Drosophila melanogaster: one gene and its partner. Each later gene encodes a partner of the first gene's protein in a complex. Each region holds a gene or a part of one and is shown in the gene's direction. Other genes may lie near its edges. The genes, in order: fu and Su(fu).

Evidence for each region.
Region 2: the proteins of fu (region 1) and Su(fu) are in contact, whole or in part, in a crystal structure (PDB 6LPH), measured with the Drosophila melanogaster proteins. Residues at the interface, in NP_477499.1 of Drosophila melanogaster: Phe371 (codon at 2,864), Val372 (codon at 2,867), Ser373 (codon at 2,870), Asn375 (codon at 2,876), Ser376 (codon at 2,879), Asn377 (codon at 2,882), Met378 (codon at 2,885), Ile379 (codon at 2,888), Leu380 (codon at 2,891), Asn381 (codon at 2,894), His382 (codon at 2,897), Met383 (codon at 2,900), Asn384 (codon at 2,903), Asn386 (codon at 2,909), Phe387 (codon at 2,912); in NP_536750.2 of Drosophila melanogaster: Leu18 (codon at 2,144), Ile22 (codon at 2,156), Pro33 (codon at 2,189), Asn34 (codon at 2,192), Pro35 (codon at 2,195), Leu36 (codon at 2,198), Gln37 (codon at 2,201), Val38 (codon at 2,204), Thr39 (codon at 2,207), Thr40 (codon at 2,210), Leu41 (codon at 2,213), Leu42 (codon at 2,216), Asp50 (codon at 2,240), Tyr54 (codon at 2,252), Met57 (codon at 2,261), Arg127 (codon at 2,471), Thr130 (codon at 2,480), Trp131 (codon at 2,483), Ala133 (codon at 2,489), Asn134 (codon at 2,492), Gln137 (codon at 2,501).

Annotation. Positions count from the first base shown.
Region 1 is NC_004354.4:18,656,159-18,661,982, forward strand, and holds fu (fused), read left to right. Parts: upstream 1-1,596; 5' UTR 1,597-1,681; coding exon 1,682-1,792; intron 1,793-1,864; coding exon 1,865-3,234; intron 3,235-3,293; coding exon 3,294-3,868; intron 3,869-3,936; coding exon 3,937-4,298; 3' UTR 4,299-4,330; coding exon of another isoform or gene 4,331-4,510; 3' UTR 4,511-5,046; downstream 5,047-5,824. Other genes in the region: CG6659 (uncharacterized protein), read right to left, coding at 1-112, 166-487, 556-817, 940-985; CG6696 (uncharacterized protein), read right to left, coding at 4,331-4,510, 5,081-5,517, 5,571-5,744, 5,807-5,824. UniProt on the Drosophila melanogaster protein: Probable serine/threonine-protein kinase; maternally required for correct patterning in the posterior part of each embryonic metamere. May be involved in control of cell division during metamorphosis and ovarian development. May interact with costal-2.
Region 2 is NT_033777.3:12,689,275-12,693,530, reverse strand, and holds Su(fu) (suppressor of fused), read left to right. Parts: upstream 1-2,062; 5' UTR 2,063-2,092; coding exon 2,093-3,499; 3' UTR 3,500-3,658; downstream 3,659-4,256. Other genes in the region: CG31347 (uncharacterized protein), read left to right, coding at 981-1,412; Arp1 (Actin-related protein 1), read right to left, coding at 1-316, 376-527, 587-761, 824-888, 1,662-1,709.

The DNA of each region.
Region 1 (5,824 bases):
GCGCGCTCGCGTTCCAGGACGTCATCATGATCAGGATCTGGGTGGTGAAGATGAAGGTGGAGAACTGCCAGGAGAGTAGGGCGCAGGCGGTGAAAAGCGACATGGCGAAGATCTTCGAAGGGCAAAGATGTTACTGAGCTTAATGCAATAAAGCACACCTATTACCATGAACATGCGAGATGTGTGCCGCTGTCGGTGTATGATCCTTCCGATGCAGATACACAGATAAAACATCTGCAGGAAAATGAACGGAAAGGCGAAGTTCTCCCGCGCCAGCGGCCGCTCATAGATCTTGGCCACGAAGCTGTGGAACATCAGGTACGAGATTACGCCGTATATGCCACCGAAAATGTTCTCGCTGAGCAGCGTTCCGTACAGGTAGAGTACCAGCAGGGTTACCCCGCCCATCAGCCACACGAACTCCAGATAGAACTGCATCGGTTGCACCATTGGATTGAAGCCGGAGCGCACTACGTGAAAGAAGTACCTTTGGGGAGCGAAAGTGCATCTGCATTAGTGGACTTTTTGGGCATCACTCCTCTGGCAGTCACTTACGCCGTGACCAGCTCCGGCAGCACGTAGAATCGCTGCAGCACATTGACACTGTGCGGATACTCGATGTCCGTGACGTTCTTCAGCTGCTCGTAGCCGTGCCAAAAGTCCGGCCCTTCGGCCAGCTGCTTGTAGAAGGCATAGTACAGGGCATCCTCGCGCCGCAGAAGCGCCTCCCGCTCCAGCTGATTGAGCTGCTGGATGTTGGTGCGCGTCTCGAAGATCACGCGCACATGCTGCACGTATAGGAAGAAGAAGCCGCAGCCTGGGATGCGGATTGGAATTGGGAGTGTGGTCAATGGCAGTGGGAATCCCCAACTCAATTAGACTGCCGCCTGGAAGCGGAAGAGGCGTGGCAGAAGTGTCTGCCGGTTGGCGGAAACTCACCGATCAGCGCGTGCGACAGGATCACGTACAGGTTGGGCTCGCGCATCGTGCTGCGATTGTGGGTGTCGTCTCACTGGGTGGCTGTGTTCAAATTGGCAATCATTATTTATTTCACAACGATTATTCCTGGCTCCGCACAATAAAAACCAGCCAGCAATCAGCTGTTCTTCGGCCGTGCTTGTCTAGGGTGACCGTACCGAGTTGCTGTCAAAAGGGTCATTTGTGTTGGTTTGGTCACACTGAATTTTAGGTACATTACGATATATAGGTACATACCTATAATTAGTTATATTATCTACTGCACTTTTGGAATTTTTAATTATTTATATTGCATATCATTTATTGCACTTATTAAGTAAAAATTTGTACATTAAGAAATATATACATATAAATATTTATAATATATAATAATATATAAGTTAAAGTTCGTTCCAACTTTTATCACTTAATAAATGTTTATTCGCAGATAATACTAATACCTACTGCCACAGATAAAAGCGCAAACTAGTCTTGTATTTGTCTTGGATTGTATCATGATCTGGTCTATATAGATTTTTAGGTACAATTGCTGTCCAGCAAAAGCGTCATTTATCAGAAAAGGAACCCTGTATGAGCAATCTAGTATTTTCATATACCTACGTACCGAAGCCGAGTTCCCACCTCGGAGTCAACCTGCTACGGTCATACCGCACGCACTTCAGTGGTAATCACATCCCAATCCGCAGCAAAACAAAGAATAACCATGAACCGCTACGCGGTAAGCTCGATGGTGGGGCAAGGATCCTTCGGGTGCGTATACAAGGCGACACGCAAGGACGACAGCAAGGTGGTGGCCATCAAAGTGATCTCCAAGGTGAGTGGGGCGGGCCAGGTGATAAAGCAACAAGTCCATACAACTAGTTCACACCATATTCATGTTCTGCAGCGCGGAAGAGCCACGAAAGAGCTGAAGAATTTGCGCAGGGAGTGCGACATTCAGGCCCGGCTGAAGCATCCGCACGTCATCGAGATGATCGAGTCCTTCGAGTCGAAGACGGACCTTTTCGTGGTCACTGAGTTCGCGCTGATGGACCTGCACCGCTACCTGTCCTACAATGGAGCCATGGGCGAGGAGCCGGCACGTCGGGTGACCGGGCATCTGGTGTCCGCTCTGTACTACCTGCATTCAAACCGCATCCTCCACCGGGATCTCAAACCGCAAAACGTGCTGCTCGACAAGAACATGCACGCGAAACTCTGCGACTTTGGACTGGCCCGCAACATGACCCTGGGTACCCACGTGCTCACCTCGATCAAGGGAACGCCCCTCTACATGGCCCCGGAGCTGCTGGCGGAGCAGCCGTACGACCATCATGCGGACATGTGGTCACTGGGCTGCATAGCCTACGAAAGCATGGCCGGTCAGCCGCCCTTCTGTGCCAGCTCCATCCTGCATCTGGTGAAGATGATCAAGCACGAGGACGTCAAGTGGCCGAGCACGCTGACTAGCGAGTGCCGCTCCTTCCTACAGGGCCTGCTTGAGAAGGACCCCGGTCTGCGCATATCCTGGACGCAGCTGTTGTGTCACCCCTTCGTTGAGGGACGCATCTTTATCGCAGAAACGCAGGCGGAGGCGGCCAAGGAATCGCCTTTCACAAATCCCGAAGCCAAGGTTAAGTCGTCAAAACAGTCCGATCCGGAGGTAGGCGATCTGGACGAGGCCCTGGCCGCTTTGGACTTTGGCGAGTCGCGACAGGAAAACTTGACCACCTCCCGCGACAGCATAAACGCCATTGCTCCCAGCGATGTTGAGCATCTTGAGACCGATGTGGAGGACAATATGCAACGTGTGGTCGTTCCCTTCGCGGACTTGTCCTACAGGGATCTGTCTGGTGTTCGGGCAATGCCGATGGTACACCAGCCGGTGATCAACTCGCACACTTGCTTCGTCAGTGGCAACTCCAATATGATCCTCAATCATATGAACGACAACTTCGACTTTCAGGCTTCCTTGCGGGGCGGAGGCGTGGCCGCTAAGCCAATAGTCGCTCCAACCGTACGCCAGTCGCGCAGCAAGGATCTAGAGAAGCGTAAGCTTAGTCAGAATCTGGATAACTTCTCTGTTCGCTTGGGTCACAGCGTCGACCATGAGGCGCAACGCAAGGCCACGGAGATTGCTACACAGGAAAAGCATAACCAGGAAAACAAGCCTCCCGCTGAAGCAATTTCCTACGCAAATTCTCAGCCCCCGCAGCAACAGCCACAACAACTTAAACACTCAATGCATTCCACCAATGAGGAAAAGCTGAGCAGCGAGTAAGTGGCCACTGCGCCTCATAGAATTTCTTTTACTAACTTTCCCCTTTCAATAACAGCAACACTCCGCCGTGCCTGCTCCCGGGGTGGGATAGCTGCGATGAATCCCAAAGTCCGCCCATCGAGAACGATGAGTGGCTAGCCTTCTTGAACAGATCGGTGCAGGAGCTGCTTGACGGCGAACTGGACTCATTGAAACAGCACAACCTGGTGAGCATTATTGTGGCACCGCTGCGCAACTCCAAGGCCATTCCACGGGTACTCAAGAGTGTGGCCCAGTTGCTGTCGTTGCCCTTTGTGCTGGTGGATCCTGTTTTGATTGTTGACCTCGAGCTCATCCGCAACGTGTACGTGGACGTAAAACTGGTGCCCAATCTCATGTACGCCTGCAAGCTGCTCCTGTCGCACAAACAACTCTCGGACTCGGCTGCCTCCGCCCCACTCACCACGGGTTCGCTCAGTCGAACGTTGCGTAGCATTCCGGAGCTAACTGTCGAGGAGCTGGAGACGGCTTGCAGTCTGTACGAACTGGTCTGCCACTTGGTACACCTGCAGCAGCAGTTCCTAACGCAGTTCTGCGATGCGGTTGCCATTCTGGCAGCAAGCGATCTGTTCCTCAACTTCCTCACGCACGGTAAGATTACCCTTAGATGGTATGAGCTGACTCCTGTAAACTGTTAGCCCGTTCCCGTTCTCCCGTAGACTTCAGGCAATCGGATTCAGACGCCGCCTCTGTTCGCCTGGCTGGGTGCATGTTGGCCCTGATGGGCTGTGTGCTGCGCGAGCTGCCCGAAAACGCGGAGCTTGTAGAACGGATTGTCTTTAATCCGCGGCTAAACTTCGTCTCGCTCCTGCAGAGCCGACACCACCTGTTGCGGCAACGTTCCTGTCAGCTGCTGCGCCTGCTGGCCCGCTTCAGCCTGCGCGGCGTGCAGCGCATATGGAATGGAGAGCTGCGATTTGCGCTGCAACAACTCTCTGAGCACCACTCGTACCCGGCACTCCGTGGGGAGGCCGCCCAGACCCTCGACGAGATCAGTCACTTCACTTTTTTCGTCACCTAGCCGGCACTTTCTTTTATTGGCCTCAGGCGTTTTTATCCGAGCAGATCCTGAATGTTGCCCTGGAAGTAGTCGAGCAGTTCGTCGATGTAGTTCCCGAAGCGGTCGAAGTTGAGCAGGTAGTCCTCGCTGCAGTCCTGTTCGTACATCTCGTTTAGCTTGGACACATCCTTGTCGGAGAGGCCGCGTCTCTGGCCCAGCGAGGCGTACGGATCCTGGAAGCAAAGGACAGGAGTCAGAGAGTGTAGACGATGCAAGCTCCCCCAAGTCATTACAAACATCTCATCGCTTCAACTAAAACTGCTAAGGTGTAGTCAACCATTCAGCTAAAGAATTCTCATTTGATATAGTTCCAACTGGACAAGGAAGCAAAATGCTTCGTCTATTCCTAGCATAGTTGCACGTCATTGGACCATGTGTTAATATAGGAATTCCTAATCTGAATATGATCAAATCACTATCACTATCGAATTTAAATATTTTATGAGCCACGGTTTTTGGCATTCCTAATGGAATCTAAGTTAATTGATAGGTGTTTTTGAATGCACATATTCAAGTGTGGTTTGTGCAAAATAGATTGATAGCATTATAGTTTGTATATCGAAATATAACATTTAGGTGTAGTAATTGTTAAGATAAGCGAATTTACTGTATGTCCATACAATAGTCCATTAATTCGCAGTATTACTATTGAATGTTAAACTGAACTCCTTTACAGTGTAAGCGATTTAAAATAATACTCAATTACATGAATAACTGGTAACCATTTGGGTTGGCCTACTCACCAATGGCTCTATGGTGGCTTTCCCGTTCTTGCTGAAGGCCCGCGAGCTGTAGTGCATGACGCTCTGGTAGTCGTACTCCACCCCGAAGTTGGTGATGTGGGTGCGGGCGTACTTGTTGAAGTTGTGCGCGTGCCCGTCGAGGATGTTCTCCCAGTTGATCTTGACGTACTCATCCCGCTCCGTGGCGCTCTGCTGGTGGTAGAAGCCGAGCGCGTGCAGCAGCTCGTGCACCACCACGCCGTGTGTGACGCACTTGGGTGTGTTCAGGTTGAGCACCTGGCCACCCGAACGCCGGCCGACGCTCGACCAGCAGCCGGAGTAGTTGCCCTTGATGAGCAGCCAGTGCTTGTCGCCCTGTTCGTACGGCCGGAAACGTATGCAGGTGCGGTCGTGGTACTCCTTGAAGGCCTTCAGTATGACCATGGTCTGGTTGGCGTCTGTTTGGAAAGGGTGTTTTACTACTTTGGACTGCTTGCAGGCCTTAACTCACTGAAGTCTTGCGGGTCTATGTAGAAGGGCACGGCGGCCTCTGGCCAGGTGAGCCGCTCGTTCAGCAGCCCGTTCCTCAGCAGCTCGCGGTGCAGCATGATGTCGCCCTCGAAGAGGCCGCAATGCTCCCATATGTTCGTATCGCTGTCCTCCGTCCAGAAGTTGAAGGCAGGACCTGCAAGTGCCAATGGTTGAGTGCATCGACTACTAGCGTCTGATATGATGTTGGGTACCTACTGTTGTGCCGGCGCAGCA
Region 2 (4,256 bases), on another chromosome or scaffold:
TCCAATCTCAAAGATCTTGCCGTCGGGCAGCTTGTAGGCAAACTTCTCGGTTTCCACGGTCTCCTCCTTCTGCGGATTGGTGGCCAGATAGCAGACCTTCTCCTTGATGGAGCGCACAATCTCAAATTCGGCAGTCGACCGGAAGTTAAAGCCCTCCCGGCGGATGAGTGTCTTCAGGTAGCGCGTCACATCGCGCCCGGCGATGTCCACGCGCATAATACTGTGAGGCATGGCGAATCCCTCGTAGATAGGAACCGCATGCGTCACACCGTCGCCGGAGTCGAGCACTACGCCAGTCACACGACCGGTGGCGTAGCTGCAAGAGTGTGGTTAAATGAAATCGATAGGGGCAGTTCGTGAGATTGCAATGCTTACAGACTGAGCACCGCCTGCATGGACACAAAGAGCGCAGGTGCATTGATGCCTTCAAAGAAGAACTCGGCTGCCTTTTCGCGGTTTCGGCGCGGATTAAGCGGGGCCTCGGTCAGCAGCACGGGATGATCCTCCGTGAAGGTGGCCAGTTGTTCCTGGTCAATGCCATTTAAAACATTTAGTTAAGATTATGGAACATTTATGGACAAATTACTTTGCTGTAAATGTAGCTCCATATCCGCTCCATGTCATTCCAGTCGGTGACAATGCCGTGCTCCATGGGGTACCGGATGCTAAGCAGGCCACGGTGCTCCTCCGCCTTGGGTCCAACGAATATGTCGCCCTCCAGCGCACCAGCCATCACTCGGACATGCTTGGGCCGGCCAATGCTGCAGGAGAAGGCATTAGTTCTAGGGGTTCTTAAGGTTCGTGAGTGGTCCACGGCACTTACTAATTGGGAAACCTGCATTTTGGAATGTGCTCACCAGCAAAGCCGGCTTTGATCACACCGGAGCCCTGTCAAAAGTGATGTGGAATACATTTAGTTAGTTGCGTCAGCTTATTTTATTTAAAATTCAACGTGCAAACAGGAAATCTATATAGTCAACATGGAATCCTTTAGTGTGCCGGAAGTGGACATGATGACCGTGTCAAAGAATTCGCAATACGAACGGGAATCGCTACTAAAGTTCGCACCGCCAGTTGGACTGACCAACATCAGCTACGGCAGCTTGTACAAGGTGGACTCCTTCTATTTGGAGTGCCAGAAGTACCGAGATCAATTCCGCGATCCCTACAACAAGCTGCTGCGCCCCAAGATGTTCAGCACATACAGGGGCAAGTGTGGTGTGAAGATAGATCCCGAACTGGAGCGCTTAAAGCGACCCGCTGCCTCCCATGTGGAGTCTATTCCCGTGGTTTACCCAATGGAGTACGGGCACCAAATGGACTTCGACAGAGGCTTCCAGATGCAGGGACGCAACAGCAGGGATGCAGCCACCGCCCGCAGATATCCGTGTGTGCGTGTGCTGGGCAGATAAAGGGATTCCACGCAAGCTTTATAGACCAAATTCCCCGTTTTCGCTGTCTTCACTTCCGAATTGAACCATCTCTGGCGTTTGCGGAGCTATTCTCTCTGGGATTAGTCATGTTGGCCATTTGAAGACGGCTTGAAAGCTCGTTGACAAAGGGACGGGCGGTAGGTGATGTCACTGTTTGCTGGCTAAAACTTTGGGAACCCTAGATTTGCACAAAGCTACCCGCATTTAATGAGCCCCATCTCCACTTACGTTATCTATGACGACGGGCTGGTTGACGACGACATCATAAGGCTCCATTTTGTGCGTTTATCAAAATTTGCAAATTTTCTATTAAATAGTTGGTCAACAGGGTGACCGTAGGTGGTTGGCAGAAATAAACAGCATGTAAAAATATACCACGGCAAGAAATACTCAATATTTTACATGGTGGTGGTTTAAAGCTATATGGATATATATTTTCACTGTTTTTCTCTACATTTTAAAAATAAGCAGAAAAAAGTAAGAAAGTAATAATTATTATAAAAAAGGTTTTAAAAATAAATAATGGTTTTAAAAGAAACTCATGTAAGTTTCCATTGTCAAATCCGCACTTTACATGGCAGTATTTTTATTCATGGTATATTCAAGCGGTGGTATTCCGCAACGTTCCAACTGAGGTCATACTGATCAAACTGGATGAAATGGCCGAGGCGAATTTGGACAAAAAACCTGAGGTGAAGCCTCCGCCGGGCCTTAAGGCCATCATAGACCACCTCGGGCAGGTGTACCCCAACCAGCCGAACCCGCTGCAGGTGACCACACTGCTCAAGTACTGGCTGGGCGGTCAGGATCCGTTGGACTACATTAGCATGTACAACTATCCCGGAGATGTGGATAGGAACGTTCCGCCGCACTGGCACTACATTAGTTTCGGACTCAGCGACCTACACGGGGACGAGCGAGTCCACTTGCGCGAGGAGGGCGTCACTCGGTCTGGCATGGGGTTCGAGTTGACCTTTCGCTTGGCCAAAACAGAAATAGAGCTAAAGCAGCAGATTGAGAACCCGGAAAAGCCCCAAAGACCGCCCACCTGGCCGGCGAACCTGTTGCAGGCCATCGGACGCTATTGTTTTCAAACAGGCAACGGGTTGTGCTTCGGAGACAACATCCCGTGGCGCAAGAGTCTGGATGGCAGTACCACTTCCAAGCTACAGAACCTGCTCGTCGCCCAGGACCCGCAGTTGGGCTGCATCGACACTCCCACGGGCACGGTGGACTTCTGCCAGATCGTCGGCGTCTTTGACGACGAACTTGAGCAGGCATCGCGTTGGAACGGGCGCGGTGTGCTCAACTTCCTTCGCCAAGATATGCAAACTGGCGGTGATTGGCTGGTGACTAACATGGATCGCCAGATGAGCGTCTTCGAACTGTTTCCCGAAACGCTGCTAAACCTACAGGACGATCTGGAGAAGCAGGGTTCCGATCTGGCCGGCGTTAATGCAGATTTTACGTTCCGTGAGCTGAAACCTACCAAGGAGGTGAAGGAGGAGGTGGATTTCCAGGCGCTGAGCGAGAAGTGCGCCAACGACGAAAACAATCGGCAGCTGACGGATACGCAAATGAAACGCGAGGAACCAAGCTTTCCACAATCCATGTCGATGAGCAGCAATTCGCTGCACAAGTCCTGTCCCCTGGACTTTCAAGCGCAGGCACCAAACTGCATTTCACTGGACGGTATTGAGATTACCCTCGCACCTGGTGTGGCCAAGTACCTCCTACTGGCCATCAAGGATCGCATCCGACATGGGCGCCACTTCACCTTCAAGGCTCAGCATCTGGCGCTCACTTTGGTGGCGGAATCCGTCACCGGCTCGGCGGTGACAGTGAACGAACCGTACGGCGTGCTGGGCTACTGGATTCAGGTCCTGATTCCCGATGAACTGGTGCCGCGCCTGATGGAAGACTTCCGCAGCGCGGGCCTAGACGAGAAATGCGAGCCCAAGGAGCGACTGGAGCTCGAGTGGCCCGACAAGAATCTGAAGCTGATCATCGACCAGCCGGAACCTGTGCTGCCCATGTCGCTCGACGCTGCTCCTCTGAAAATGTGATGGTGTCCATTGGTTAGCTAGTAGTTATTTAAATTAATCGAATTGAATCTTCCACTAACGAGTAAGTTTTACATTTATACATCTCATCTAACACAATGCACGTGGCCTTTGCTCCTCGCCGGAGTCCAGTCAAAATATACAAACACATACATATACCCGAAACCACTCGACGGGCCTTTGATCGCAATATGAAAAGAGGAAGCGCCGGCGCCAGGAGCGGCGAACAATTCGCCGGATGAGTCAAGTTGGGGTCAGGCTATTGAGCACTGGAACAGTTCGCTTTGGTGGCTGCGGCGGATATGGCCACTTGCAGGCGGTGGAAGTCATCGCCACCGACTAACCACCAATTGATGGTATTGCGCAGTGGACCGCCGAATGCTTCAGTTTCTAATTCTGGGAATTGATCAATTAGAAGAGCATTCAATTTGAACACAAAATCCCGCCCGGGATCATGTGATTGCGCGAGGAACTGGACCTGGAGCAGCTGCATCATCAGCCTGGCTGATGGGAAACCCTTGACGCATCGCTTGTCTGAGCGTTGCCTAGGTGAATTTTTGTTTACCGCAGAGAACAGTTGCTCTGCTTCTCCGATTAGGCGCCCCTCATCAAGTGAGCGAGCGATTTTTCGCAAAAACAGCTCGTGGAAAATAATTCAGTTTTCTTCATTCCGCCGCCGACGACGCAAGCGTTCGGTTGTGTGCTCGCTCGAGAGGTCTCCACCCGACCACTGATTCCCGCGATTCTCGAGTCGGCTTCA